Linked DNA regions of Lonchura striata. The protein of the gene in region 3 purifies or fractionates together with the protein of the main gene of each other region. This does not show direct contact. Links are inferred from orthologs where the notes say so. Each region holds a gene or a part of one and is shown on either strand. Other genes may lie near its edges.

Region 1 (7,669 bases), on a different chromosome or scaffold from region 3:
ATGTAAAAACGAGGAAGTTTTGCTGTCTTGTTACTGCAGAAGTTGGAGCTTGGTTTCTGTCCCGTCATGGCTTTTGGTTTGGAAGCTGCCACTCCAATTGCTCACTGTCTGAGTATTGCAGATACAGAAACTGAGGCACAGAGAGACTGAGCAACTTGCCCAAGGCAACAGGAAATCTGTGGGAGATCTGGGAATAGACCCCAGATGTCCGGAGTTTTCTGTCTTAACCACAAGACCATCCTTCCTGTCTCTTTGGTAGTCCCCTCTGCTTCAGGAATTCCATTTCCAAATTCCACCCATAAACAATCTTTTGCACGATCCAGTGACTTACTTGCATTAAAAAGTCGTTTGGAAGAGAAAACGGCACCTCTCTTAAAATGAACTGCAGCTACTGCTTTCTGTCCTTTCTTTCTAGGGGATGAAGGAGAGGGAGTGAAAAAAAAAGAAAAGCAACCCAGCTTCCAGAGCTGAGAAGCATTTCCATTGCTATCCAAACTTCCTGCAGGCATTAGTTTGGTTCTTTAAAAGAATCAGGAACTCCAGATGTGATGTTTGAGTTTATCTGGCCATTTGTATTTTAGTGGATTATAAAAAGGCCTGAAATTGCACTAAATGCATCTTGGGAGTGATCCTGCTGCTGGTCCCCATTGTATCCGAGTGTCTCTGGTGACAGTCTGGTCAACTGCCACAGCCCTGGGGGAATTCACTGTGTGTCTGGTGCTTCTCCCCTGTCACACAGTCAGAGCTTCTCTAAGAGGAGACTGAATGCTGGGAGGGGTTTTCATTTCTACCAAAGCACACCCTTCAGTTTGGAAATGGTGGAATGGGTGGATGTCCCTCATATTATCGAAAGAAGACTATAATTTAAAAATTATTCTTAATTAAAACCTTTTAGATTATCCTGTTACCCAGTGGGGAATATTTCTAGCCCTGCTTTCTCTTAATGTGGTAACTTGTTTAGCATCAGGAATCAACAAGGGCTGTATGGCCTAGATTGTTAAATCCCATCTTTAGACCTTGGTATTGTGGTAATATCTAAAAATCCCACTCATGGATCACCAAATCCTCATGTGATGGATTCTATAAACAGAAACTTCAAGGGTCCTTCTTGCTTCCAGTGGCTTCCTATTAAAACAATTTGGTGGAGATTCTCCAAGGGTCTTCTCTGAGCACATGAAGACACAGCTGCTGGCCTGGATCAACGTGTTTGGTTCCTGCCTCTTCTGAAGCCATTTAGCACTTTGAGGCTTGATGTCCAAGTTGGGTACGTGAGAGTGGGTTCCTCTCTGAGGAAATGCTGACTTAGGGGCAAGGTCAAAGCTCTTACACAACTCTTACACACCTTTCCCCTTTATTCTGAACAAGATTTCAGAATAGAAAAGTAGAAATAAAACACAAGAGCTTGGCGTGTGTCCTGCCCCATTACAATGAGTCTGAGTAAATCACAGCGGGTTTGTTTTCCAATTGCTCTTTTAAGCACTGTTTGGATATTTGTCTGTTTGCTCCTCCTCTTTTGTCCTGATGTGTTTTTTCTGCTGTTCCACTGCCATGAACTCTTCCAGAGGAGACTGTCCAAAATTCAATGTCTGTGTCTCTCAGTCACACTCTATGGATGAGCAGGGCTTAAAGTCTTTGTTGAATTTCAAACACGATTAACAGTTGTGCTGGTGTGTGAAAGTGCTCCTTAGCCCTTTTTGGCACACAGTTGACAGAGCTCTGAGATAACAGTGGAAACCTTTTCAGCTTGTTCCTTAATCGTGATGCTAAGATTGAAATGTTTGTTTGACTTCTGGGTGTGCAGTCCATAGAAAATGGGAGAATACACAGGATTTTTGCTTTGAAATTTGTTATTAATAAAAAGCAAAAGCATCTCACTCCTGACCTGAATAATAAATCCATAATGGAGTTTGCAGTGCTGCTGGGCAGTGGGTGCCCATGCCTAGTCATTTGGTGTCTGTGCTGTGGTCAGTTGGTGTCCATGCCCTGGGCATTGGATGTCCGTGCCATGGGCACTTGGTGTCCATGCCCTGGGTGTCTGTGCCATGGTTACTGTGTGCCCATGCTGTGGACAGTGAAGATCCATGCAATGGGGAGTGGGGATCTGTGCCATGGTCAGTGGTGTCCTTGCTATGGTCCGTGGTGAGTGATGTCCATGCCATGGTCAATGACTGTGCAATGGGCAGTGTATGTCCGTGCTATGGCCAGTGTGTGACCATGCTAGGGGCAGTGGATATGTCAGTGCCCCAAGCAGTAGGTGTCCATGCCATGGTCAATGACTGTGCCATGGTCAGTGACTGTCCGTGCCCTGGTCAGTGGTCAGTGACTGTCCATGCCCTGGTCAGTGACTGTCTGTGCCATGTGCTGTGTGTGTCCATGCCCTGGTCAGTGATTGTCTGTGCCATGTGCTTTGTATGTCCATGTCCTGGTCAGTGGTCTGTGACTGTCCTTGCCCTGCTCAGTGGTCAGTGACTGTCCATACCCTGCTCAGTGGTCAGTGGTGTCCGTGCCCTGATCAGTGGTCAGTGACTGTCCGTGCCCTGCTCAGTGGTCAGTGACTGTCCGTGCCCTGCTCAGTGGTCAGTGACTGTCCATACCCTGCTCAGTGGTCAGTGACTGTCCGTGCCCTGCTCAGTGGTCAGTGGTGCCCGTGCCCTGCTCAGTGGTCAGTGACTGTCCATACCCTGCTCAGTGGTCAGTGACTGTCCGTGCCCTGCTCAGTGGTCAGTGGTGCCCGTGCCCTGCTCAGTGGTCAGTGACTGTCCACACCCTGCTCAGTGGTCAGTTGGTGCCCGTGCCCTGCTCAGTGGTCAGTGGTGTCCGTGCCCTGCTCAGTGGTCAGTGGTGCCTGTGCTCTGCTCAGTGGTCAGTGGTGTCCGTGCCCTGCTCAGTGGTCAGTGACTGTCCGTGCCCTGCTCAGTGGTCAGTGGTGTCCGTGCCCTGCTCAGTGGTCAGTGGTGCCTGTGCTCTGCTCAGTGGTCAGTGACTGTCCATGCCCTGCTCAGTGGTCAGTGGTGCCCGTGCCCTGCTCAGTGGTCAGTGACTGTCCGTGCCCTGCTCAGTGGTCAGTGACTGTCCGTGCCCTGTCAGTGGTCAGTTGGTGCCCGTGCCCTGTCAGTGGTCAGTGACTGTCCATGCCCTGCTCAGTGGTCAGTGACTGTCCATACCCTGCTCAGTGGTCAGTGACTGTCCATACCCTGCTCAGTGGTCAGTGACTGTCCGTGCCCTGCTCAGTGGTCAGTGGTGTCCGTGCCCTGCTCAGTGGTCAGTGACTGTCCGTGCCCTGCTCAGTGGTCAGTGGTGTCCGTGCCCTGCTCAGTGGTCAGTGGTGCCTGTGCTCTGCTCAGTGGTCAGTGGTGCCCGTGCCCTGCTCAGTGGTCAGTGACTGTCCGTGCCCTGCTCAGTGGTCAGTGACTGTCCGTGCCCTGTCAGTGGTCAGTTGGTGCCCGTGCCCTGTCAGTGGTCAGTGACTGTCCGTGCCCTGCTCAGTGGTCAGTGGTGTCCGTGCCCTGCTCAGTGGTCAGTGGTGTCCGTGCCCTGCTCAGTGGTCAGTGGTGTCCGTGCCGCGGCCGCGGTTGCGCGGGGCGGTCGCGGTGATCTCTCATCGGTCGGTAGAGGGCGCCCGTCCCCGCTGTGCGGGGGGCGCTCGGTGCCCCGGACACTCCGGACACGCCGGACACACCGGACACACCGGACAGCCCCGGACACACCGGACAGCCCCGGACACACCGGACAGCCCCGGCCCCGCGGGTGGGAGCCCAGGAGCCGACCCGCCTGTGTGCCACCAGCGTGGTCTTAGTGCTGCCTCCGCCTTCCTGCTCCAGCGGGGGCTCGGACAGCCCCAGCCCCTTCCCACCCGCGCTGCGGTTGCGCCTCTCACGCCTCTTCCACGCGTTGAGCGTCGCCTGTGGGTGGAAGGAGCGTGTGACGTGTGCCGGGAGCGGGGAACACATGTGTGTCGGAGCAAGGGAGCATACGTGTGCCGGGACAGGGACGCACACGTGTGTCTCTCGCCTGTAGCGCTCAGTGGGTTGGGGGCTCCGGTGGCGCCCCGAGGATGCGCTCTGGTCCCGCGCGGTTGTCGCCCATCAGTTGCGCTCTCACGCCTGAGATTGCTGTCGGCGCGGGGCGTGTGCCCGCAGTTGACGCCGGGCAGGGCGCCGTGAGTGCCCGTGTGAGCCCGACCAGAGCCGCTCCCGCGCCTGTTCCGTTTCACGGCTGCCAGAAACGCAGCGGCGAGAGGGGAAAAGCCCTCGCCCTACCGCCCCTCCTCGGCGGCGCGGCGGTCCGTGAACCCAGCAGTTTATCCTCCGCCCGCTCCCTCCCTCCCTCGCCGGCGCTGCCGCCGGGGCCGCGCGCCCGCCCGCCCGTGCAGCGGCTCGGCCCGGTTCGGCCGAGCTCGGCACGGCTCGGCTCGGCTCGGCGCGGCACATCCCAGCTCGGCTCGGCTCGGCTCAGCACGGCACATCCCAGCTCGGTTCGGCTCGGCCGGGCTTCGATCAGCTCGGTTGTGCTCGGCGCGGCCGGGCTCGCTTGGAGTGGCTCGGCTTGGCCCGGCTCGGCTCGGCTCGGCTGATCCCGGCACATCCCGGCCGGTCTGGGCGCAGCGCGAAGCGGGAGGCGGGCGCTGTTCCTGGAAGAGCCCGGCCCGGGGAGTTGGTCACATTCTTGGCCGGGATTCAATGACTGAGGCAGACACCAACAAACACAGGGGGGAGGCGGAGGGCGGGCGGCTGAGCCCGCCTGCATTAGCTCAGCTCTCAGGCACTCTCAGTCACTGCTGGAAAGAGGAGCTGGGAGGATGTGCGCGCTCTCACCGCGGCTCCCCACGGCACAACGAGAGCACCGGCAGAAATAAGGGCAGGAAGGCGAACCGAGAGCCGAGGAGCCCTCCCAGGCCGAGCGGACGGACCACGAGGGGCAGCGGAGCCGCTCCTCGCCCGTGCGGAGCCGCCGCGCCGCTTCGGCAGTGCCGGAGATCTGGGCCTTTTCTCCTGCCTTGTTCCTTCCACAGACCGAGCGTGCTGCCTCCTCCTGCTTTTTACTTTCCTCCCCCGCGCCTTCCCTCGGTGGATATGGACAGAAGGGGGATCACTGCAGAGAAGCAGCAGCCGCCAGAACATATTTGAGCCCGGGTGCTCGGAGCGTGGCACAGACTTTTTGTGTTTCTGTGGGTGGTGTGTGTGTGTGTGTGTGTGTGAGTGAGTGTGTGTTGGAGGTGTGGGAGGAGGGATTGGTTTGCCTGGGGGTTGGCTGAGGGGGTGAGTGCTCGGATGAAGACCTCTTTTTGCCGTGATTCTGTGCTCCATCGGGGCAGCTTGGAGACTTGGAGGGTTTGAAATTGTAACGTGAAGCAAGAGAAGAGAAAGAAGAGAGAGACACGCATACAAAAGGATTTATTTCCTCTCCGTTAGTGGATTGCTGAGTGAGAAGGAGGAAAAACACAAGGGTGGGTTGTTTTATTTTGTTAATATTTTTTCCTAAAAAAAAAAAAAAATCCCTTAAGTGGATTTGCATCAGGGTGGAAGATAACTGGGGATTTTTGCTATTTGTTTTGGGAATAGAAACTAAAAAATGGAGACTGTAAGTAGAAGCAGCTTCCAGCCTCATCCAGGACTGCAGAAGACCTTGGAACAGTTTCATCTGAGCTCTATGAGCTCCCTGGGTGGCCCTGCTGCTTTCTCAGCACGATGGGCACAGGAGATGTACAAGAAAGACAATGGCAAAGACCCAGCGGAACCTGTACTGCATCTGCCCCCGATCCAGCCTCCTCCGGTCATGCCTGGTCCCTTCTTCATGCCCTCGGACAGATCCACGGAGAGGTGCGAGACCATCCTGGAAGGGGAAACCATCTCCTGCTTCGTGGTGGGCGGAGAGAAGCGGCTTTGCTTGCCCCAGATCCTGAACTCGGTGCTCAGGGACTTCTCCCTGCAGCAGATTAATTCGGTGTGTGATGAGCTACATATTTACTGCTCCAGATGCACTGCTGACCAGCTGGAAATCCTCAAAGTCATGGGCATCCTGCCCTTCTCCGCTCCTTCCTGCGGGCTCATCACGAAAACTGATGCTGAGAGGCTTTGTAACGCCTTGCTTTATGGTGGCACCTATCCTCCCCACTGCAAGAAGGAATTCTCTAGCACAATTGAGCTGGAGCTCACGGAGAAGAGCTTCAAGGTGTATCATGAGTGCTTTGGGAAGTGCAAGGGACTCCTGGTGCCAGAGCTTTACAGTAACCCCAGCGCAGCCTGCATCCAGTGCTTGGACTGCAGGCTCATGTACCCACCTCACAAATTTGTGGTCCATTCTCACAAATCGCTGGAAAACAGGACTTGCCACTGGGGCTTTGACTCTGCAAACTGGAGATCCTATATCCTCCTCAGCCAGGATTATACTGGGAAAGAGGAGAAAGCTAGACTGGGCCAGCTCTTAGATGAAATGAAAGAAAAATTTGACTATAACAACAAATACAAGAGGAAAGCCCCTCGGGTAAGTGGTGCCTGTGATTTTAAAGGGGGCGGGGGGAATTTCTGTAACATTCATCGATATACCCAAATTGTTACCAGCTGCTTTTCCTTGGAGTCATTTAGCAATTTTAATCGTGTTCTCCATTCTCTCCGCGTGTGTGTCACTGTGGAGGAGCAGTGCTCGAGATGGCACCTTTATTTCTCTGGTTGTTTTCTGACCACGGTGCTTGGAGTTTGTTTAAATTATGTGTGTGTGGTTGTATGTTTTACTATGTGTGGACCTTGATCTTTGAAGCCCATCACACTGCCCCAGACTTTATCTGGCATTGCGTGATTTCGGGTCTTTAAGGGCTTCTTCACTCAGGGGTCAAGGCAAGGAAGAAGCCAGAAAAAGGGAGCAGGTACTGATGCTCCAGACACAAGTCCATGCACTTTTCTGGTCGATTGAGTGTCGCCAGGGATGGAGGTGCGGGCTGAATGCTCTAAATGCTCGAATGGAAATAAAATGTGCCTGTTAAGAAAAAAAAATAAATTGTGCCGGTAGTGCAGGTTAGTGGTTTATAGATGAAGTGTTCAGAACGTGAATGGAGAAGTCCCTGCTTTTAGAGTATCCCTATGGAGCTTAGATTTGCCCAGCAGACAGGCTTTTGTATATTGGATTATGTATACATCCAGCAAATGCCTGTGTCTAGGGCCAGCTGCAGCAGCTCCTGAAGGTGTTCCATGCCGTGCTGTGCTGAGCCAGCCAGCCAAATCGCTTTTTTTTTTAGATGCCACTTGTTTTTATTTCAGTCTGAGCTGCCTTTAGATCCCAGAATCCCTGGTGTGTGGGTGGGAGGCTGCCTTGGCATCTGGCACCGGTCCTGCTCCATGGGCAGCAGTGCCACAAGGCCCTGGGGACTCGCAGACACCGGGATGTCTGGCTGGCTGGGGATGAGCAATTCTGCTTCCTGCTCCTTCCCCCCGGTGCGAGGGGAAAACAAACTCCTGCCTCCCCAGTTCTCCCCTGCAGGTTTGTTGGTTGGGCTCTGCCTCACTGTCAGAGATTTCCAAACTTTGGGGTTTTGTGTCTGGAGTGGAAGGGCAATACACAAGCCTGGAAAAGAAAAAGTGTTTAAAACCCACTATGAAAATTCTGAATTAATTTACCAAATACTTGTTTAAAGGGGCAGACACACACTCTGACTAAGATAGAGCTTTTATTTATA
Region 2 (6,997 bases), on a different chromosome or scaffold from region 3:
ATACAGAAACTGTCATAAATATTCAGAAGGGACATTAGGTGTAAACAGTCCAGTGCAGTAGCTTTTGTTTTTTGGAGAACGTGTCTGCATCAGAAGCATGATGTATTTATGTGGAGTAACCTCTTTTTTGTACACGAGTTGGATTCCTATGGGTGCTCTGCTAGTTAATATTGTCACTACTATTTTCCTGTTTCATGTGGAATATCGTCTTGAACGTTGTTGTGTAATCATTTCCTTTATTTGTGCACACTTTTTACGTTAAATAAAACATTTATATTCAACCTCAGAGAAATCTCAGAGAAATACTGTGAAATGCTGGTCTTGGGATCATCGTCTAACCCTTTTAAACTGTCCATATCCCATGGGAATCTTGTTCTGATCTTTTCATTTCTTGTAGAAAATTGCACTGGGATGGGCCACAGCAACCCAAGAAATGCCTTTCTTACCCTGCATTTACCAAACATGTCTGAGAATGCAGGTTCTGCTCCAGCATCATTCCCTAGCCTCATGCTCATCTAGTCCTTTGGAAAAACACCATCCTTGTAGGTTCTTTCCTTCCAACACCAGTGATGAGACAAAGCAGTGAGGCATCCATCCTCTGCACAGAGATAGAAATCTTAAAGGAAAATACAAAATGTTACTTTAGCCTGCTCATCCAAGGACTCTTTCAGCGCTGGAGTTCGTACATCATCTCAGCTGCCAGAGCTGGGATTTGGAGTTCAGAGCAACGCTCTTGTCTGCTGCACTTACTTCTGCATGATTTATTTCTTTGTTTCTTCAACTCCTCCCCTGCATTCTGGGATTTCTGACACAGAGGGTGATGGCACAGATGCAGTGGTTTAATTTCTGTATTTCAGTATCTTTTAAAAGAGATTTTGTCTTGCCTCAGCACGGGTGTGCTTCGGCAATCCTGGCGAGTGCTGCAGATGGCTGCATATCTTCCATGCTTAACCTCCCCCCACGCACGCTCCCTGTTTCTGTTCTGTTGGGTGCCCAGCTGCTCTCGCCTCAGTCTGAGCAATTGTTTATGCTGAGGCACTCTATGGAGGAAGCTGATAGCTTGGATAATCTATACATACACTTGGTAAGTGCTAAGCAAGCGTCCTCACTTCAGCATGGATGGTGTAAGGCATTGAAGCAGCAGAGGTATCTGCAACTGACCACAGAATTATGTTTTCCTGGGAAGAGAGAAGGTAGGGGTTGGAGCCCCTTTGAGAAAAAACAGATTTTACCATATCTTGCATTTTTTCGCAGAGAGATCCCCCATGTGTTTATTTTAATTTTTTTTTTCTGCTTATAATAAAGGGATCTGGACTGAATACTTGAAAGGTGGATTCTTACCATTTAATCACCAATAACTGAAAGCAGAGCAGTGTCTACATCCCAGGTCTGTGCAGCTTTTGTGGGAGGTGGCTTTTCCAGGCATAAATAGCAGGAATCTCTTGTGTCCATGTTTCATTTCTAAGGATGAGTAAAGTGTCTGGGCTTATACTCTTAGATCAGAGGAATAGTTCAAGTCCTTCATGAGCTGAAGTGTTTTGTGCACTGTCCCCACTGTGACTTGTCCAGCAGGATGTGGTGTCTGCCAAAATCTATCAACTTTTTCTGCTTAAAACACAACCTGTAATACAATATCTGTTTTGCAAGAATGAAACCTCCTATGACAGATTAGCTAAGTGTGAACTGTTACAACTTACTATTAAACATGACTACTAATTTTTTTTCTTTAAAAAGTACGATATCATCTCATCAGAGACGAAAATGCATGGTCTTTGTTCACAGTTAAATTGTGCTCTCCAGGGCATAGTTCATAGTTAAATTGTGTATCTTCAGGGACTGTGCATCAGGGAAGTTTGTGAGCTTCCCCAGAGCCTCAGCATTTCTTTAAAATTCAGACACTTTATTAATCAAATCAAGATTCCTCCTGTGCTATTAGTGCACTTTATTACCACTTGCAAAAGTCTGTAACTCAGGTTTTAGTTATGCAGTGTCTTCAGAACTGCTTTTCACAGTCCACAGTAGAAATAGGCAGAGCTAACACCTTTTTTTAGACAATCCTCTACCTACAAACTTTGTCTTCCATCGCCTGATTATTGTAGCTCTATAGCAACACTATCATTACAGCACAATAGTTACCAGGCTTTGTAACCTGAAATGGAACATTTCTGCGGCAGAACTTGAAAAAAATCAACAAATTACACAATGCCACTGGATCCTAAGCTTCCATGACATCAGCACGTCTAATAAAAGATGAAATATCTGCCTACATATGCTGCCTTCCTCACAGACATTGATCAATCCAGCTGCAATGTTAGACATTACATTTTCTTCAGTAAATTTGAAAGGGATTGTGACATAGTGCATTTCACTGATTGGTATTCAAAGAGGCTTTTTTTAAAACAATCAGGTCATAAAGTCCAAGAGGGTGAAGCAGACAGGAATGTCTAGAATGTCTATACAATTCCCTCATAGGTTCATACCTTTTCAGAATCAGCTCCAAAAGCTGGTGCATTCAGAAATCTTGTTTATTTCTGCCACATTGTTGTGGCTTTTAAACAGACCTTATATCTGCTTAATAAATAAGTAGTGGGTGTTAGTATTCTTTGCAAAAACGTTTACTTTTCTATAAAACCCTGATGGTTTGGCTTGGAAAAGGCCTTAAAGATCACTCAGATCCAACGAAATTGTAGATATTGTTGCAGACACCGCAACCGATGCGGTGGTTTGAGAAAGAGGTGACTGCTGAAGCAGCTTTGAAGTGATGCTCAAGGGCCTCTCCATCAGCGACCCCGCCCAGCCCAGAGGAAACCTGAGCATATCAAAGGTGCGAAATCAAGGATTAAAGAGCACCAAACGCCTCTGTCAGCAGATCAGCGGGGCAGGTTCTGTGCCATAATCCTCCTGGGACGGCATTAGGGAACGGCGCGGAAGGGATCAGGGATCCCGCCGGCCGGTGCGAAGCGGTGCCTGGTGCTTGTACAGCTGCCCCATTTTCATGTGCCGTGCTTTTGTACTCGCATCAAAATATGTAACTGTGTGGGATGAAAGGAAACGGCAAATTGGATCGCGCCGTAATCCCAGCTGAAGCGCTGTCTTCACAAAGATGTAAACTGAAAAGCTTTGGGCCTCTTGCAGGCGGAAGAAACTTGTAATACATGAACGAGCTGTACAGCGACTAAGCTGTCCCTGAAGAGCATCTTCCCCGCCTCTCCGCGGTTCGATCGCTTCGTTTCCCAAAATATCTCCCGCGAGCCTGTGGCTGGAGGGAGCGGTCCGTGCCACGGCTTCGGGGCCCCTCACACGGGCCCGCCTTCCCCGCGCCTGCCCGCCCGAGCACAGCCCGCCCTCCTGGGGACCCTCGCTGGGGACAGCACTGTGAGACCCCTGCCAGGGACGCTCCGTGGGGGACAGTCACTCGAGGGCTTTCACTGAGGGACCATCTTTTTGAGGGGCAGTCAGTGAGGGATCCTCTGCGGGCGCCTCGCTGCGGGGCAGTCACTAAGGGGCGGTCACGGAGATCCCCCCGCTGGCGGCCTCTGCCCGGGGCCGCCGCCGCGCCTCAGGCGGGCGACACGCCCGACGGGTCCCCGACAGCGCCCGGCTTTTCCCCTGCTGCCATGGCCGCTTCCCTTCCCCGCCCCAGCTGCAGCTGCCGCTCCGTCCCGTCCCTCAGCCGGCCCCTCTCGGCCGCCGACGGCGGAACGGCGGCAGGGCGGCGCGGGGCAGGCTCTGACCGGGCGGGCTGCGGGGAAGCCGGGCAGAAACAACACTTTTCCATGCGTATTCACTTTTTAGTGTCTATTACACAAAGATCTGTTTTATTTTTATTTCTCCTCCTGCGCCTTCCCCGCGGGCGGCAGCGGGGGGAAGGCCCGGCCGGGTTTCCCGGCGCTGAGGCGGCGGCGGGCGGGGGAGGGGCGGGCGGGCGCTCCCGCCGCTGCCCCAGACAGTGGGCGGGGCCGGCGCGCGCCGCCGGCGGGTTCGTGCCCGCGCGCCGCCGCCGCCGCCGCCGTCTCGGTCTCCGCAGTGAGGTCACGGGTGGGCGGCGCGAGCGCGGCGCCTGTTCCGCTCCCCGCGGCCGCCGGAGCCCCCGCGGCGCCGGGTGAGCAGCCGGGGAGCTCGCTGGGAACGGCGGGGAGCGCGGCGGCGGAGCCCTGGGGGGAAGGGCGGGAGCGTCCGCCGGGGGATGGGAGGGAGCGGCGGCGCGGGGGCGGCGGGGAGAAGGGGAGCGGGGTACCGGCGTTGGGAGGAGGGGAGGGACACGGGGGCGGCGGAGCGGCGCGGTACGGCCGGGGACGGCGGGGAGCCGGGCAGGGCGGAGGGGCGAGCCCGGCGGCGGGAGGGGGAAGGGCTGAGCCCGGAGCGGTGCCGGCGGGGCCGGGGTGAGTCACGGCGCGGGAGGGAGCGGCGGCGTGCGGCGTCCCGGGAGGGGCCGCGGGGCGAGGGGTCGGTGCCCGGGATGTGGGGGCCGGTGCCCGGCTCGCCGGAGCGCCCGTTCCTTTCGGGCGTGCACGCCGGCAGAGCCGCTCCGGACCGCCCCCTCCCCCGCCGGTATCGCTCATCGGTCGGGGGCTTGTCCCGGTGTTCCGCAAGTTACTGGGAAATGCACCCTGCCTCTGGCAGGCAATCCCGGTGGTTTGGGCTGCAGGGGGCCTTAAAGCTCATCTCCTTCCAGCCCCCCCACCCCGCCATGGGCAGGGACACTTCCACTATCCCAGGCTGCTCCAAGCCCTGTCCAACCTGGCCTTGGACACTTCCAGGGATGGGGCAGCTGCAGCTTCTCTGTGCAGCCTGTGCCACTACCTCACTGCTATCACCGAGAACAATTTCTTCCTTGTATCAAATCAAAACCTTCCCTCTCTCAGTATAAAGCCATTCCCTCTCGTCCGCTGACTCCTGTCACACTTTCACCTGTGTCAAAAGTCCCTCTCCAGTCCTTTTTACCCCTTTAGGTACAGAGCAAACTCTGGGATTGCTTGTGATCAGCCATCTCTCTTTCACAGGTTATCAGGAAGGACGAGCAGAACTCTGTGCTAGCACACGACATGCATCCAGCCCATGGCCTGGATCTCACCTCTATTACTAATAACTTGGGCTGGGAAAATTCTGACACACGCCAGTGACATCTGGGCGAAAGGTGACTCTCTAGGGACGTTTAGTTTTTGCCGTCGGTCTGGATCAGCCTTTAATTTTAGGATTTATTTGTGAACTGCCATAATAGCTGTCACGGTGGTGGTGGTGAAATCATAAAGCTGGCAGCACAATAAAGCAAGCCCTTAAGATTGTGTTTGATCTCTGGGAGCTAAAAGTGCTGAATAAAATTTTCATACAACGTAAACTACGTTTTGGATCAGTTTCGTTGAGATTGACATTCTTCTAACTGAGCCCATTTTTCTATTTTATTATTTAAATAGAGACTTATTTGAAAAGACAGTATATTTTTTAAAGGAAAAAAAAACGATTGAGGATGAACACCCATCAACGCATCGTTTTTTACTAAATTGCTGAACAAGACTACTGTGTAAAGTAGTGGCTAGGGTATGAAGAAAACCTTTTGTATACATATTGCATTGGGGTTTTTATATTATGAAATTTAACAAATAGCTAAGAAAATAGTGTAACCCCCTTCGTTAGTAGTTTTACAGAATTACATACAAAATGGGTTACAATTTTTACTGTTGAATGCTGAAGAAGATGTTTTAGGGAAAGGAGCGTGCAGCTCCAAGATCACATGAAACTATTTTTTATATAAAAAGTAAGAAAATGCACATTCAAGACTGGCTTAATTAAAGCTCAGTGTTCAGCAATGGAAAGCCCACAGATAAACTTCCCTCTAGGTCTGGTTTCAGACCAAAAAAGAAGCAGGATCCAAGAGGATGGGAGTCCTCCACTGAAAAAAGCAATGACTGAAATGCATGTAAATAACAAAGTACAGGTAGTAATAAATAAATTGCCAACAATAAAGAAGGAAAACCTGGATGACTATGATGAAGCTCCGGTGGAGGCTGATGCGGAAACCGCCAAGCCAAACAGTGCTTCACTATCTGAGCCTTTGAGTTTAAATCCAGGTTTGAAACACACGTTGGCACAGTTCCACCTAAGCAGCCAGAGTTCACTGGGTGGACCTGCGGCTTTCTCAGCTCGGTATTCCCAGGAAAGTATGTCACCCACTGTCTTCCTGCCTCTCCCATCACCACAAGTCCTCTCTGGTCCGCTGCTCATCCCTCCAGACAGCTCCACGGAGCTCACGCAGACCCTGCTGGAGGGGGAATCCATCTCTTGTTTTAAAGTCGGAGGAGAAAAAAGACTTTGCCTGCCTCAAGTATTGAATTCGGTTCTCCGAGACTTTTCCTTGCAGCAGATCAACACGGTGTGTGATGAGCTCTATATCTACTGCTCAAGGTGCACTTCAGACCAGCTGCACATTCTGAAGGTTTTGGGAATTCTTCCGTTCAATGCTCCGTCCTGTGGGCTCATTACGCTGACGGACGCTCAGAGACTATGCAATGCTTTACTGCGCCCTCGCACTTTCCCCCAAAGTGGCGGTTTCCTCCCTGGTAAGAACACCTTGGCCCAGCTGAAAGAGACTGGCAGTGCCTTCGAAGTAGAGCATGAATGCCTGGGCAAGTGCCAGGGGTTGTTTGCACCTCAGTTCTACCTTGCCCCGGATGACCCGTGTATCCAGTGCTTGGAATGCTACGGGATGTTCTCACCCCAGACCTTCGTGATGCATTCACACAGATCCCCAGACAAGAGGACCTGCCACTGGGGGTTTGAGTCGGCCAAGTGGCACTGCTACCTGCACATTAACCAAAAATACCTGGGCACATCAGAAGAGAGAGAGCTGAAGCATCTCTTGGAGGAAATGAAGGAGAAATTCAGCGAGAAAAATCAGAAAAGAACTCGGTCCAAAGTAAGTTCACCTGGTGTAAAATTCCCAGATCTCTTTCTGCTCGCACATAAATACTTGTTTTAGAAGCGCATTACTTGGCTTTTC
Region 3 (7,841 bases):
AAATTATTTAAAAAATTGTTTCTTAGTCCCATTTTTGACCTTTGAGGTATGTGTAATTCTTCTTGATGTAGTGCATTTTGCAAACACTTCTCAATAAAGCTTTGAGGAACAAAGTTAAACATGATCTTTGCCACAGCTGCTAGTAAGAACCTTTCAAGTGAGAATTGTGAAATTAACCATTAGGGCAGTTTTATGCTGTTTTTCAGGAAACCTATGGGAAGAAGGAGATTTTATAGATACTAAACTGATCTACCAGTTTCAGGGGAAAGGACACTGCAGCAGACTTCTCCACTCTGCACCCAGCAGAGACAAAAGTAAACATTTTACTTAACAGCAGTCAAATATTAGGATTAAACTATATTGGGGAAAAAAAAAAAAAAAAAAAAAGAGATTGCCCTTACTGGCCTCTTGCTAGTAAAGCCATGAACCAGCCTTCTCAGATTTCACTTGGTGAACACTTAGTAAGGAAGATATAATTTTAATTTAGAGCAATTCCTTTTCCAAATAGCATAAACTATATAAAACAACAAAATAATACTATTTTGTCACTAGATCTGTAGTGGTTTGGCTCTTTGTATGTCAGTAAGGTTGAAAAGAGATTTATTAACATGCATATTGAGTAATATCGTATTGGATACATGTACAAGGTAAGGATAGGATAGCTGCTCAAAGTTGAAGTCTCCTGAGTTTTGTCAGTGTAGCCACTTTCAAAGTTTACAGTGCTCTTGTAAGAAACAAAATGTATCTACAACTGAAGTCTTAACTAGTGAACTTTTTTCAACGTTAAGTACAGATTGGTGGGGGTTTTTTTGTGGGCTCAGGTCAGGCCTAGCAGAGAACCCTAATGGGGCAGAGGGAAAGGCAGAAAAGAAAATGTTTCTTTTACCAAGCCAAACTTCTGCTGACAACTCACTTAAAGGAGATTGCACATCAGGAAAGCCATGAGGAACCCTTTATACAACATGTGCCTATGGCAAATCTAGCTCTCTGTACAATCCCCATTGTTTACCTGTGAATTAAATCATCATGTTCCCCATCCCATCATCACACTCCCCCCTCAATTTTTCCCTATTTATTCAACTGCTTGACATGCAAGCCTCTATAATACATCAGCTATGGAGGAGGGAACTATCACCTCTATCTTTTTTGAAAAGACTGTCCTCACCATTAGAAGAAATACAAAAAACTGAAATGAAAGATTGGACACCTTGGGAAAAAAAGGCAGCAACTGCTGTCATCTAAATGTTACTGCAACACAGTAACTCCAGTGAAAATCAACTGCTATAACTGATCTGGTTATGTAGGTCAACAATGTCACTAATTCAAATATAAACTGTGAGTCACAGTTGTGTTAAGATACATTTTTAATACATTTTTACAAAAGCCATTGCTTCATAAAGGCTATATTCCTGAAAGGTCAGAATGCTCTCATCCATGTTTTGAAAGCACATTCAAAATATGCATGAATGCTGTGAGCTGTTGCTCATCCTCAAGCTTCCAATACCAGACAATCTCATCTGTAGCTGCCAGGGCTTCAACCATCAATAAAAAACAGATTTTTACATATGTGAGACTTCAAGACTTTAAAATAGGAAGCTTGGTGCCTTGTGCACTATTATTTAATTAAAGTGAACCATAAAATGTTCCTACAGCCTTTCCTACCTTATGAATTCCAGAGGTGATTCTATACTGTGGATGAGTACACAGGACAGGTGACCAGATGTTTGCTCTATCAAATAAACCAAGATCACTTCTTTCCCTATCAATCCTTGCACATCAGCAAGCATCATCCTAACAGGGTTTGCTTCTGTTCCCTCCCTGCCCCAAGACAGTTCCTTTATCCAAAAAAATTAAGTGCAAAAACACTTAAATTGCTTAAATAGTTCTGACAGCAAGAACTATGGATATGTGACCAACAAGATGTAATTTCTGGTTTTAAAACTGGCAAAGCATTGTAACTATTTAAATATTAGTCTTCCTGAAAAAGCTTTCTACTAAGTATGCAGCACTTATATACCTTTGGAATTTTCTGCAAGTTACAACAAAGACAAGGTAAGACCTTATACTGCACCTGAAAACACAGCTTTCCTTTAATAGTTTATAATACAGATACCATGACAAACCCAGGTCTACAACAATTAACAGTCAATTCTTATATTTTTGTTCAAACCTTTGTTTCTGAAATCATTGCATTAGAATCAAATTATTCTAATTACAGCAAACTCTTACCTCCTGCATTACATCCTCTTCTGGAGAAGTACTTGGGTATCAGGAATTAAGGGTCTCATTTAATCAGCTAAAGCAACCAGGCCTTGCTTATGATTTAATGAAATAATTTCAAGCCATGGAAGAGCTTAGTCTAACAACATGAAAATTCCATGAATGCATGCTCAGCCCTAACCAGAGAAACACAGACACTTTGAAAAGTACATACCCTTAACACCTGCCCATTGCAACAGTGACAAGCCTACGTACCTCTGAAGATCCCGGCCTACATTTCTGAATGAACGTTACTTCCTTGTTCATCAGGCAAAAAAAACCACCTGAAAATTGTGATTTTTTTTTTTTTAAACATGGGTTAAGAGAACACTAACTTCGCAAACAAAACAAATGACGTCATAACAGACCCTATTACGCACAGAAATAGAAACTCATTTCCCTAAGGGGAAAATTTGTGACAAATTTGTGACAGAACCCCAGAGAGTGCTGCGGCTGCCCGCAGTGAAGGCACTGCTTTGTGCGTCAACGAGGCGCTGAATAAAAAAGGAAAAACACATTCTGCGTGAAGTTCCCCCCCGCCGCACAGCCCCGCCGCTCGCCGCTGCCGTCAGTGCCGGGCGGGGAAGCGGGGCCGCCCCGCCGGCCGCGGCCCCACCCGCGGGTCCCCGCCGCCCCCCGTACCTGAGACAGCGAGGCCGCGGGGGAAGGGGCGGGTGCCGCCGGCGCCCTGCGCAGGGCCGAGCGGTAGAAGCGGCCCCGGTGGGCGCCGCAGTGACCCCGCGGCGCTGCCCGGCGCGCCGGGAGAGGCCGCAGCGTGCCGGCTGTGGCGGTGCGGCCGCTGCCGCGCTCCGGTCCCGGTGCGGCCGCGGCGCCGGGCGGGCCCCGCTCTGTTGTGGCGCAGCCCCCGCCGCTCCCTGCCCAGCGCCGCGCGACACTCGGCGCTGCTTTACAGCCGCCCGCAAAGCGCAGCCGCGCCGCCGCGCGCCCCGCCTCCCGCCGCGCCCCCTGCCGGCCGGCGGCGCCGCCACAGCGCGGGTCCGGACCGCGCGGGGCAGGGCGGGCTCGGGAGGGCAGCGGACACGTCGGGATGGGCTCCTGAGGGCAGCGGGCACGTCGGGATGGGCTCGGGAGGGCACCGAGCACGTCGGGATGGGCTCCTGAGGGCACCGAGCACGTCGGGATGGGCTCGGGAGGGCAGCGGGAACGTCGGGATGGGCTCCTGAGGGCAGCGGGCACGTCGGGATGGGCTCCCGGACCGGCGGCACGGCCCGGGCTGCCGTCGCTGCTGCTGCCTTTAGGCGGTTGTGTGTAAATCTGTAAAGCGGTGGTGTCAGAGCACAGGGCGGGCTCTGCTCGGCGGTGCCGAGGAATGGGACACGAGGCAATGGCAGAAACACGCCCAGAACGTCCCAGCCGGCCTGAGGAAGAACCTGGCGGTGCAGCGAGCGCCCGGGAGCGGGAGCACGCTGTCCAGCGCCGGGGGCTCTGGGAGCCGGCTCGAGCAGCGGGGCAGCCCCTGCGGCCGCTCCAGCCTGCCCCTCTGCGATGTCCCTTCTAGCACCTGTCCAGAACCATTCCTTTTCTTCCCAGCGCTGTCTCCCTTGGCACCGCAGTACCTCGCGGCTGCCCGTCCTGCAGCCAGTGACAGTTGCGGCTGCGAAGACACGCCGGCAAATCCCAACTCTCCATCCCAGCTCGTTAGAAATAGGAGTTTATTTGTCTTTACTGCACAGAGTCGGGATGAGGTGAGCCTTTCCCCGCTGCATTCCTATGTGCACACAAACGGTGAGGACCTGTCCCGACAGCGGCCGTGTGTGACACGGACAGCACAGCAAACACGAGGCTTTGGGAAGGCTCTCAGACAGCAGCAAGCCTCAGCGTCTGCTGACTTTGCAACTGCCAGAGGCCAGGATACCTCTGCCAGAGATGACCTTTCATCAATGTCAGGGTACACATTCCAGCTCCAGATTGAAACACTGCATAGACAGGGGTCCTATACTGTCCGTGACCAGCAGCTACACAAACCCGAGGCTTTGGAGCAGACAGGTACAGTCTGGTCTACAAATAGTTAGAGATTTTACTCAGAAGGCACTGCACCAGAGAGTCATCAATACACAGCAGATCCTACGTGTTTTGGAGGAGCTAAACAACCTGCATGCATCATTACAAAAGAAGTGGTCACTGGGGAAAAATGCATGTTATTTCATTAAATAATTGCATGAGTTTCTGAACAGAATTTCCTTAAAGCAAAAGTGGATAAAACAACATGGAAATTAGACTCTACTTCAATATATATCCAAAAGTGTACAAAATGCAAAAAGGATCACAGGTTATTTCATGTGGTTCCATGAGCAGAGCAACAATTAATTTCAGTTTGCAATAAAGACAATAACACAGGTTTTCCAACATTAATTGTCTACCTTTCTCTACATATTTCTCGTGGTGTTGGGTAGTTTTCTTTTTTTAAAGTCATATATATGACTTTAAAAAAGTAAACACAGACACCGAGCCACAGATGAAATAACCAGTGAAACTGGGGAGAATGTGAAGACAGCAACAGACAGTGGGAGGAAGGTCCTATCATTCCATGGGGGTCACCAGTGGCTTGACTGTGTAAGCAATTTTAATATTTTTCCATTAAGCACTAGATCCAAAGTTGGAATACTTTACTAAAAATCAGCTGGGAAAAAACCAATCAAGACAATATATGGGAAGAAGTAAATGACCCTGAGGACTAATAGAAGCAAAGTGAAAAAAACATCAAATACAAAGAATGTGCACTTGAATGTTAATGACCAAAAGTTTTGGGTATTTATCAGGTAAAAGGCAGCTGGATGCGAAGTTCAATTACCAATGTAATTAAGTAAATGACCATCAGTCAACAACATTTTGTAGACATGAAAAAGCAAATATATCTCTATAATAATTTTGTTTAAATAATTTTAAGAGAGAGAGGTCTCAGTGCTATTGCAAATATTATTCCTAATGTAGTCTTGCAGCTTTTTTAAAATATGTATCCAAGGAAGATTAACTCTAATCTTAGTGGGACACTCAAGAAAACAGTATAGATTGTATGAGAGGAAGCTAATAAAATTTGGCTGGATTGCTTTAAGAAATGAGACACAGGAGCATTGTGAATAAGCTGATGAGAGACTATACCAATAAAAAACCTTACCAACTAGTTACGTATTTACCCATTTACGTAATAATTGGTTTGAACTCTTGTGTCAAAGGTGACAGAAGGGTAGTTCTTGGTAGAGAAAATGTAGAGTCACTCTCTGCTCACCAACTGAAAGATATACAAAAGATCATTTCAAAAACAAAAATCATGGATAAAGTTTTCAGTTCACAAATTAAAATGCAAATATAGTCAGTCTTGATTTTGTCCCAGTGAGAAGTCACAGTGGCCAAATGATCTGTAAATGTTCAAACTGGGTACAAATCTGTGGACCTTTCTGTAATATAAAGGCAGAATTTCTAGGATCTTTATTGGCTAAGATTTCCTAACACTTATTTCAATATGGACCACCAGCTGACAAGAATCTAGTAATTTGTGGGCCAGTCACCCTTTAATAAACTCTTGATAAAAATTAGTTTGTCCATTATTGACTGGTTATTAGCGTCTTTTTTAAAGAAAGGTGATGTAGAAAATACTTAAGTGCCCAGAATTATTCACTATTAAAACAAAACCAACCTTCTATCTATGCCCTTTCATGGAAGTTTTTTCTGCCATTATCTTCGTATCTTGCAGAGACAGTTGTCTTGAAATTAGATTACTGATTCCTTGGAACAAACCAAAACGTTCTCCTTCTCACACTTTTTAGGTACAGAAAACCAAAAGATTAAATTGAATAAGTCTAAATCACTAATGCAAATTTCAGAATGGCTTTCAGGCTATGATGTCATCAGTTCATACTGAACTCCTCAACTTCTTCTAACTACAGCTGAACAAAACCATTTATATGTACACCCCAGGGCCTGGCAGAACTAAAGACACGGAGAAGAAATTATCTTATCCAAGATCAAAACATGCCAGCCAGCAGAAGATTGCACTTTACATTTTTGGCAAAAAGACTAAAAAGAGTAACCCAGTTATCCTGAGGTGCCTTCAGCAGCTTGTCTACTTGGCTGGACACAGCTCATGCAGGGCTGCTGGAGCAGTTTGCTGGCCCAGAATGGAACAAGGCACAGCTTTTTCCAGGGGTGAGCAGCAGCTTCTGCAACAGCCCCGTGGGCCGAGCTGCACAGCCTCCCAGAGAGCTGGCTCTGCTCTGGGCCGGGCTGGATGAAGCCTGCTCGTGGCCAGGACAGCATGGAAGGGGTCTACCTCTAAAACTGTGACAGCATGGAAGGTGTCCACCTCTAAACCTGCGCCCATAGCCAGGAGTGTGGATCTGTCACACGCACACTGCTGGTGGAGCTGTCACTTGCAGCCAGGGCCATCCTTGCCGTTTACGGACCATACTCAAGCATATATTTAAATGCTTGCATGAGTTAAGGCAACTTACAATTACTAGTAATAGTAATAAAATGTAAAGTTGTAGTATGTTGTGAGGACGATACAGAAAACCAGATAATACAGAAACATTTCTGTGTTAGATCAAAAAAACTCTGGGATTGATACTTGGATGATAAACAGTCACAGCTCTAGTTAGCCCAGATGAAGATCTTAACCATGAATATTGGAGAAATAGGGAAAAGATAAAAAGTCCTGAAATATTTATATTATGATAAATTTCTACTAGGAAACAAGAAAAGAATGATCATTTGCAGAATCAAAAATAAAACTTGATGGTTGTCTGTGCTATATATTTTCTGATGGAAATTTTTGAATGCAATTAAAGAGTTTTCAAAAGCTCTGGAAAATAACATGCACCACTCAGGTAATTTATAGTAATTTATATTTTTATGATATATGGGAAAACAAAATACCCTGCATTACAGTATAATGTTGATATGGAACTGACCTACCAGTCACTCATTTGATTTCATGTTGTACAGCCAGATAAGGCTCTGTAAGGTTAGAAACAGCATTTTCACAACACATGACTTAAAAATTATGCAAACTCCTACTAAGGTCTCACAGTATCTTTCTGAGATTATCTGATAGCTTAAGTATTTAAGTTGCCATATAATTAAGAAGGTGTGGTGTATATAATTACTTGGAAATAGCTAGTTTGTTGACAGTATTTTTAATAGTTCTTTTTCTTATTCAAAAACAAATATGTCACCAAGTTCTTAGTAGAAAGATCATGAGATGTTCCTATTTATTCTTTCAGTCCTTGCACAATAATGGGGCCAAATATATTTTTGTGTTTTAATGATGCATCAGTGGCTATTTTTAGAGCAATTAGGTTTAAAACAAACAAAAGCATCCTGCATTAAATGATCTGACTTTGCACTAAGAAATTCAATAGCCATTTCCTAGCATGTACATATGGTTTCAGTGGTAAAATAGAAGATATTTGTGTTTGATTTACAATTGGATTTATGTTCTTTTCCTTGCTGTTCTCTAGAAGCAATTAAGAGATCAGAAATTCATTTTTACAACCTCCTCTGACTGCTCATTGTGCAGTACATCAATAATACGTCAAAAAGAAAACTATACATTCAGAGTAGAA
Region 4 (6,844 bases), on a different chromosome or scaffold from region 3:
AAATGTGATCTGGAATGAAGGCTTACAGTTTGCAACGGAGTTTCTGTCACTGGAAATGGAGAGGAATGTTTAGGAAGGTTTTCTGCAGTAGCCAATTTCTTCTAGCCCAGAGAGTATTGAGCACAGGCTGCCTGTACTCTCCATTCTATTACAAAAACCTAATCCCATCGCATGACCTGCAGCAATTCATTTTAACAAATCAACAATTACAAATATTTTGGCAAAGTAAGCTTAGGTATTGTTTGCCTCTCGGCACAGTTCACAACCAGTTTATGGCTTTATGATAAAAGTCATTAAATCCAATCTGAAAAGCAGAATTTACAGCTCACTTAGCAAGTCAGGCCCATAAATGGATGCTTTCAATTACAGGACATTTACATGCACAACCATTAAGGCAGCACTGAATACATTTGAAAACTGTGGAATACTTTTTATAATAATTAAAACTTTGCGTACTGTTCTTTATACAAACAAAACTTAGGAATTTGCTTCAGCCTCAAGAGAGCTCAGATTCATTGTCACCCAGAACATACCACAAAGCCTGTTCTCCCAGTACTTTTGTGGGAAAGGGATTAGAGAGATGGAAACAAGGTTTGTTTTTTAAAGTTGCCCTCAGTAGCAGGCAGGGTTTTTTGAGCTCAAATAAACTCAATTGTATCAACTGGTGCTCAAGACTTCTGAAAGATCAAGTGGAACGGGAAGAGGGAGGAGGACCCAGGGAGAACCTTTCATTTGGAGATTCACTGTGTAATTCCAGGGTATTTGATTTTGGTGAATCTAGCTGCTGGGTGGAAGGAAACAAGAAAACAGCACAGAGACCAATTCTTTAACCTCATTTTTTCAATTGTCTGAGTTGTTTTCTTCCTTTCACTGTTAAACAGAACCTCAGGATAGCTGATGAATTCTTCTCCAAGGCTCTATCATGCATATCCAGCCTCTTCAGTAAAGAAAACTGGATCTTCAAACATACTCCTTTTGTTGACTGTGTATCTGACCCATACAACTGCAGAACAACAATCAGCTGCCAGGCTACTCTTTTCAACACCCCAATATGCTGTTCAACAGATGCTCAGACTCATCTTAAAGTGGAAACCACCTTAAACAAGACCCTCCCCTTCCACTTCTTAAAAGCATTTGTAACTAATGTTATCTTTCATCATGACAGTGCTAAGCAAAGGGGGGAAGGGACTTCACAAACACCTCCTTTACTCACACTCTCATCCCCCCCGAATTCGCCAGAGCTTGTAAACGTTAGAAGTTTGAAAGCTGTGCCTCAGAACGAGCACACAAACAACCCACTCACGCACCAACACCTCGACAAAGCATGAGAAAATCTAAACAAGCAACCTCGCTCTGCTGGCCTCTCACCTCAAGCAGAGGGTGTTTCTTTTCCAGCCTGGAGAACAGAGCAACAGCTAATCAGTGCCTCGCTGCAGAGGCCAGGCCCCACAGAAGTAATGTCATGAATCAGTTTGAAAGTACAGCTCTCCAGGCTAAGACACAACACTTGAGAAAAGACAAACCTGCTGCTACCTGCGGTCTCCTAACAAGCTGCTATTATAAACCTCTCGCTGCTGATGGAATCTAACCCGTTTATACCCCTGGACTGTGAGAGCATGAGCTCCACACACAATACACAAAGGTTTTTGGAGACACTCATTTTGGCAAACCCTGTAAATAAACTCTTTCCTAATGCTATCCCGCTCGCAAGCATTTGCAAAGAGCATAATACACGTGTTGGGTTTCTCTCAGTCAGAAACTGTGACGGACAACCAGAGAGACACAAGACCAGCCTGCAGCCTGAATCCCAGCTGCTCAACAGCTCTCCACAATCATCACAAGAGCTCTTCATTCATTCACACGCTTTTTTCCGTTCTTTTATTTCCCCAGAGTGAACACTAGAAGACCATGCTGTATTGCACTTCTCTTCCCCTCCACTCTGCACAAAACGAAAAAAAAAAAAAAAAAGAAAAAACCCCTACAAACAGGAACTCCACAACTCTGCAGCAACAACACCAACCACTTGCCCTTATCACGACACAGCTTCCTCAGTGCACTTATCGAGAGATGAGACATTACCAGGTTGTGTGTGTTTACAAACAACACCCAGGGATGGAGTTGCCACAGCTCCTCTGGGAACCTGTGTCAGCACCTCGCTGCCCTCTCAGGAATTTCTCCCCAGAACCCCACCTGCCTCTGCCCTCTGACAACACACAGCTTTAAAGGCAGGAATAAAACCAGTGATCTCAAGTCCTGTCTCACGTGGGCTGCTGTGTGTCTCTTACACCCGCGGCTCTGCAGACGAGGAGAGGGGACAGACAAAAGGGTGAGGTGAAGCCTCGCAGTCCCAAACACAAACTCCTAGCTCCAAAACACAACTCCTCGCCCCACACCGCTCCCAACTTTCTTCTCCAAAACTCCAGGGAGTGCCGCACACCTAACCCTGCCTGCATGTCCAGGAGGCACACAGGGGTGTCCTGTGCAGCGCTACGAGCTGGACGCGATGATCCTCGCGGGATGCCTTCCAGCTCGGCATATTCGGCGGACCCCTGCAAGGAAAACACACCGGGCACGACGGGAGGCAGCGGGGGAGAGAAGGAGCACAACTTCTTTATTCCTCCCTCCCCTCACCCACACACACACACAGACACACACACACAGCGCGGCCCTCCCAGCACAGCTCGGGGGCAATGCCGGCGGGAGCAGGATAACCTAGCCCGGGTCCCACCACAACAAAAAGGGCGAGGGCGTAGGGAGGCGCCCCCGGCCCCGCCGGGACCAGGCCCGGACGGTTCCTCACGGCCCGCGCAGCGCCAGCGGGGCGACCCTGCCCAGGGGGCAAGGACCCCGGGCCCGGCATCCACCAGCACGCACCGGGAGCCACCAGGATCCGCCGAGAGCCACCGCTCCTTGCCCTCCTTCTTCCTCCTCTCCCCTTCCTTATCCTCCTCCGTCTCCCCGAGTGCGGTGCGGCCGCCGCCTCTTCCCTCAGCGTTACCTCCTCTGAGGGCCCGCCCCCCGCAACGCCCCGCCCCCGCCGCTGGGCGGGGAGGCCGCCCATTGGCCGCATTTACCTTCTCTCTAAGCAGCCGCACTGTGATTGGTCCAGAGATCTAACTGGCAGTCAGGATCGCCAATGGAGTGCCCGCAACGTTAAAAAAAAAATAAGACAAGGGAAGGGGAGTGGGAGAAACAGGCGTGAGGCGGAGGGAGGCGGGCCGTGGCCGCAGCGCTGATTGGTTGGGTCGGCTGTCAGTCACGGCGCGCGCGCCCGCCGCGGGAGGCTGAGCGGAGGTTTGGCTGAGCCGCAGCAGCGCAGCCGCAGTGCGGCTCTGTCCCCGCTCCGTATCCTTCCGCGGCGGGCGCGACGGGAGCTGAGAAAGAGTGCGTGGATTCCCGGCGGGAATTGCCGCTGAGCTCCGGCTGGGCTCTGCAGCGGTGGGCAGTGACCCCTGGGCTGTCCCAGCCAGGGTGTGACACAGCCCCAGGGCAGTGCCCGTCCCTGTGCTGGCACTGCTGAGACACCTCCAGTGCTGGGGACAGCTCTGGCCCCTCAGGACAAGAGAGACACTGAGGGGCTGCAGCGTGTCCAGGGCAGGGAACGGAGCTGGGAAGGGACTGAGCCCCAGGAGCGGCTGAGGGAGCTGGGAAGGGGCTGAGCCTGGAGAAAAGGAGGCTCAGGGGGACCTTGTGGCTCTGCACAGCTCCTGACAGGAGGGGACAGCCATGGGGACAGCTCTGCTCCAGGAACAGGGACAGGAGGAGAGGGAATGGCTCAGGTGAAGTTGAGGTTGGATATTGGGAAAATTCCTTCATGGAAAGGGCTGTGCTGCCCTGGCACACCTGCCCAAGGCAATGATGGAGTCCCCATCCCTGCAGGGATTTAAAAGCCATTGGATGTGGCACTTGGGGACAGGGATCAGCAGTGGCCATGGCAGTGCTGGTGTCACAGCTGGACTCAGGTCTTGGTGGGCTTCTCCAGCCTAAACGATTTTGTGGTTCTAAATAGATTCCAACTGCCCACAGCCCCGCAATGGCACAAGAGCTCCAGGGTGGCTGTCCCCAGGTGTGACACGGACACAAGGCAGCCCCAAAGCCTGCCCAGCCTCCCTCTGCTGCCTGCCCCCCAAGCTCACAAACTCTTAACCCCCCCCATATGTTAGGGGGGTTTTTTTAGCTACTGCCTTCAAGAGTCTTTGCAATGCTTGGACCACTTGTGTTGAGGTAATGGTGAAAAGTAACCAAATTCCTGTGCCCCAGCAGGGGCCCAGGGTCACCATAAGGAAATCAGAGCCTGTTACCTGGCAGTGCATGTTTGGGGACCTGTCTGTGAAACCCATGGGGCTCTGTTGTGCCTTGCAGTGATGCCCAGCAGATTCCCTGGAGCTGTTCATCCTGGGAAAGACAAGTTTGTGGAGACCTCACAGAACCTTCCAGTATCCTAAAGGGCCCACCAGGAAGACAGAGAAGAACTCTCTGTCAGGAACTGCAATGACAGGACAAGGGGGAATGGGTAGAAATTAAAAGAGGGGATCTTTAGGCTAGATCTTAGAAAGAAATTCTTTGCTATGAGGGTGGAGGGACACTGGGACATGTTGTCCAAGGAGGTAATGGATTCTCCAACCCTGGAAGTGCTCAAAGCCAGGTTGGACGGGGCTTGGGGCAACCTGTCTAGTGGAAGGTGTTCCTACACATGGCAGTGGGGGTCACGACTAGAAGAACACTAAGGTTACTTCCAACCCCTTAACATTGTATGATTTTATGAGTGGGAAGCCACAAGGTGGGATTTTAATGGGGTTTTTTGGGGATGAGAAGGTCTGTTCCAGATTTGCTATAAGTCTGTTGGAGGTACTCTGTTTTTTTTGCTTTTGTCTTTTTGATACTTTAGTATATATCATCTATCTTCACTTCAAGCCACTTCCTTTACACCTGAGGTCACATCTCCCTAACTTTGTCTCTCCAGAGTCATGCTCATCTTCTAGACTGAAAAGGTTTCTGCACTCAGTGGTGTAGGTGTTATGATTCTGTGTCTAGGGCACAGGTCCCATCTCCACAAGGCTGGTATTCCCAGGAGCAAGGTGAATCACCTCAGAATATTTAGCCCTTCTACAGAATGTGGATTCACAGAAATCCCCCTCTTGCCTCTTCTGTGCCTGGATTCTCCCAGCTTGAAGCAAACGTGGCTTATTTTTTTGGTAGCATTTTCAGCCAGCCCCAAACGTTTGAGATTCAAGCTGGTCATGAAATCAACAGTGAAGTGGAGAAGATCCCCTCTGCAGAGAAAGCAGAGCATCTGAGAGCTTGCCATCATGTTTTTGGAAGATAAGGTGTCCCAGTAATGTTGTGCCTGGAAACATATACAGACTATTCAGCTAGCATTGCACTTGCTTTGTGGAGGTTTTGCTGCATTCAGAGAGATTTTTTTTTTTTATGAAGAGTAATTTAATTAAGCTCAATTTTCATATGGATTTGCGTCAGACATTCCCTTCACCTCTCCTCTGCAACAGATTCATAGCTCTCTCTCCTCCTATCTCCAAGGTTGATTCCTGATACATCCAAGCCTCCCTACTACACAACTTATTGGTGTTTGCCTTCTTTCTGGAGCAGCACATGCTGTACCTGGTTCAGGGATGTGTGTGCTCTGGCTGGCCAGCTGCCTGCCCCTTATCTACTGCCAAGGAAGCCAAGCAGTGCTGATAAGGGCTGAGCTCTCCCTGCCTTTCTCCCCAGCAGAGCACTTAACAACATGTGTCTTCTCTAATATAGCTGCTGTTTGCCATGAAGCTTGACAGGCTTTGTGTTTCCAGAAGCTCTACTTCTCTTTCAGGTGTGGTTGAAATCAGTCAAAAGGTTGGCCAGCTTATGCTGGGGGATTCTGACATACACACACACACAAAAATCCAACATTTGCATAAACCTTTCTCTAGGAAATAAAATTGCAAGCAGCAGCAGGAAGACAGCCAATGGAAGAAGGCAGCATCACGGCTTTAAATCCCAGAGCCCAGAAGTTGCTTCAGAAGCAGGGTGGCTGTGGAGAAGGCAGGCAGGCAGGATGTGCGTATGCTCTAGAAAGAGCTCCTAGCTGTATGCCTACACCTCCAGGAAGAGCATTGATTTAGATTGGGAATTAGAAAGATTGGGTTTTTTTTGATGAGGGTGATGAAACACTGGCACAGATTGGCCAGAGAGCTGGTGGATGCTGCATCCCTGGGAACACTCAAGGTCAGGTTTGACAGGGGTTTCAGACACCTGATCTCATTGAAGATATCCCTGTCTTTGGCAGGGGAGTTAGACTGGACGACCTTTAAAAGTCTCATCCAAATCCAAACCCAAACTATTTTATAATTCCATGAAATAATACTTGATTTAGTAAAACAAATAGCAAAACTCCATCACTGACACCAAAGCTGGATATTGTTATGTCTTATTAATTAATCACAGAATTCTAGAGTGGTTTCGGTTGGAAGGCTGGAAGACTGGAAGGCTGGAAGTTCATCTCATTCCACTCCCCTGTCATGGGTAGGGACACTTTCCACTATCCCAGGTTCCTCCAAGCCCTGTCCAGCCTGGCCTTGGATACTCCCAGGGATCCAGGGGTAGTCACAGCTTCTCTGGGCAACCTGTGCCAGGATCTCACCCTGAAGGCAAGAATTTCTTCCTAAAATCTTTCTTAAGTCTTTCCATTTTGTAGTTTAAAACCATTTCCACTTGCCCTTTCACTGTCTTCTGTGTAAAAAGTTGCTCTCTGTCTTTTTATAAGCCCTCAGTGAGGTCTCCCTGGAGCCTTCCCTTCTCCAGGTGAGCATCCCCAGCTCTCCCAGGCTTGGTCCAGAGCAGAGGGGCT

The links.
Region 1: the proteins of RNF111 (region 3) and SKI purify together in Homo sapiens (affinity purification with western blotting, with the first as the bait; 3 studies listed by BioGRID). This does not show direct contact. The link is inferred for Lonchura striata from reciprocal best matches to the Homo sapiens genes RNF111 and SKI.
Region 2: the proteins of RNF111 (region 3) and SKIL purify together in Homo sapiens (affinity purification with western blotting; 3 studies listed by BioGRID). This does not show direct contact. The link is inferred for Lonchura striata from reciprocal best matches to the Homo sapiens genes RNF111 and SKIL.
Region 4: the proteins of RNF111 (region 3) and SMAD2 purify together in Homo sapiens (affinity purification with western blotting, with the first as the bait; 3 studies listed by BioGRID). This does not show direct contact. The link is inferred for Lonchura striata from reciprocal best matches to the Homo sapiens genes RNF111 and SMAD2.

The regions. Positions count from the first base shown.
Region 1 is NC_134626.1:2,810,007-2,817,675, forward strand, and holds the start of SKI (ski oncogene), read left to right. Parts: upstream 1-4,663; 5' UTR 4,664-5,446; exon of another isoform or gene 5,447-5,561; 5' UTR 5,562-5,571; coding exon 5,572-6,483; intron 6,484-7,669. UniProt on the Homo sapiens protein: May play a role in terminal differentiation of skeletal muscle cells but not in the determination of cells to the myogenic lineage. Functions as a repressor of TGF-beta signaling.
Region 2 is NC_134612.1:23,035,781-23,042,777, reverse strand, and holds the start of SKIL (ski-like protein), read left to right. Parts: upstream 1-3,992; 5' UTR 3,993-4,102; intron 4,103-5,003; 5' UTR 5,004-5,806; coding exon 5,807-6,913; intron 6,914-6,997. UniProt on the Homo sapiens protein: May have regulatory role in cell division or differentiation in response to extracellular signals.
Region 3 is NC_134613.1:10,560,197-10,568,037, forward strand, and holds the start of RNF111 (E3 ubiquitin-protein ligase Arkadia), read right to left. Parts: upstream 3,010-7,841; 5' UTR 2,902-3,009; intron 2,790-2,901; exon of another isoform or gene 2,476-2,789; intron 1-2,475. UniProt on the Homo sapiens protein: E3 ubiquitin-protein ligase. Required for mesoderm patterning during embryonic development. Acts as an enhancer of the transcriptional responses of the SMAD2/SMAD3 effectors, which are activated downstream of BMP.
Region 4 is NC_134642.1:2,223,376-2,230,219, reverse strand, and holds the start of SMAD2 (mothers against decapentaplegic homolog 2), read right to left. Parts: upstream 3,003-6,844; 5' UTR 2,875-3,002; intron 1-2,874. UniProt on the Homo sapiens protein: Receptor-regulated SMAD (R-SMAD) that is an intracellular signal transducer and transcriptional modulator activated by TGF-beta (transforming growth factor) and activin type 1 receptor kinases.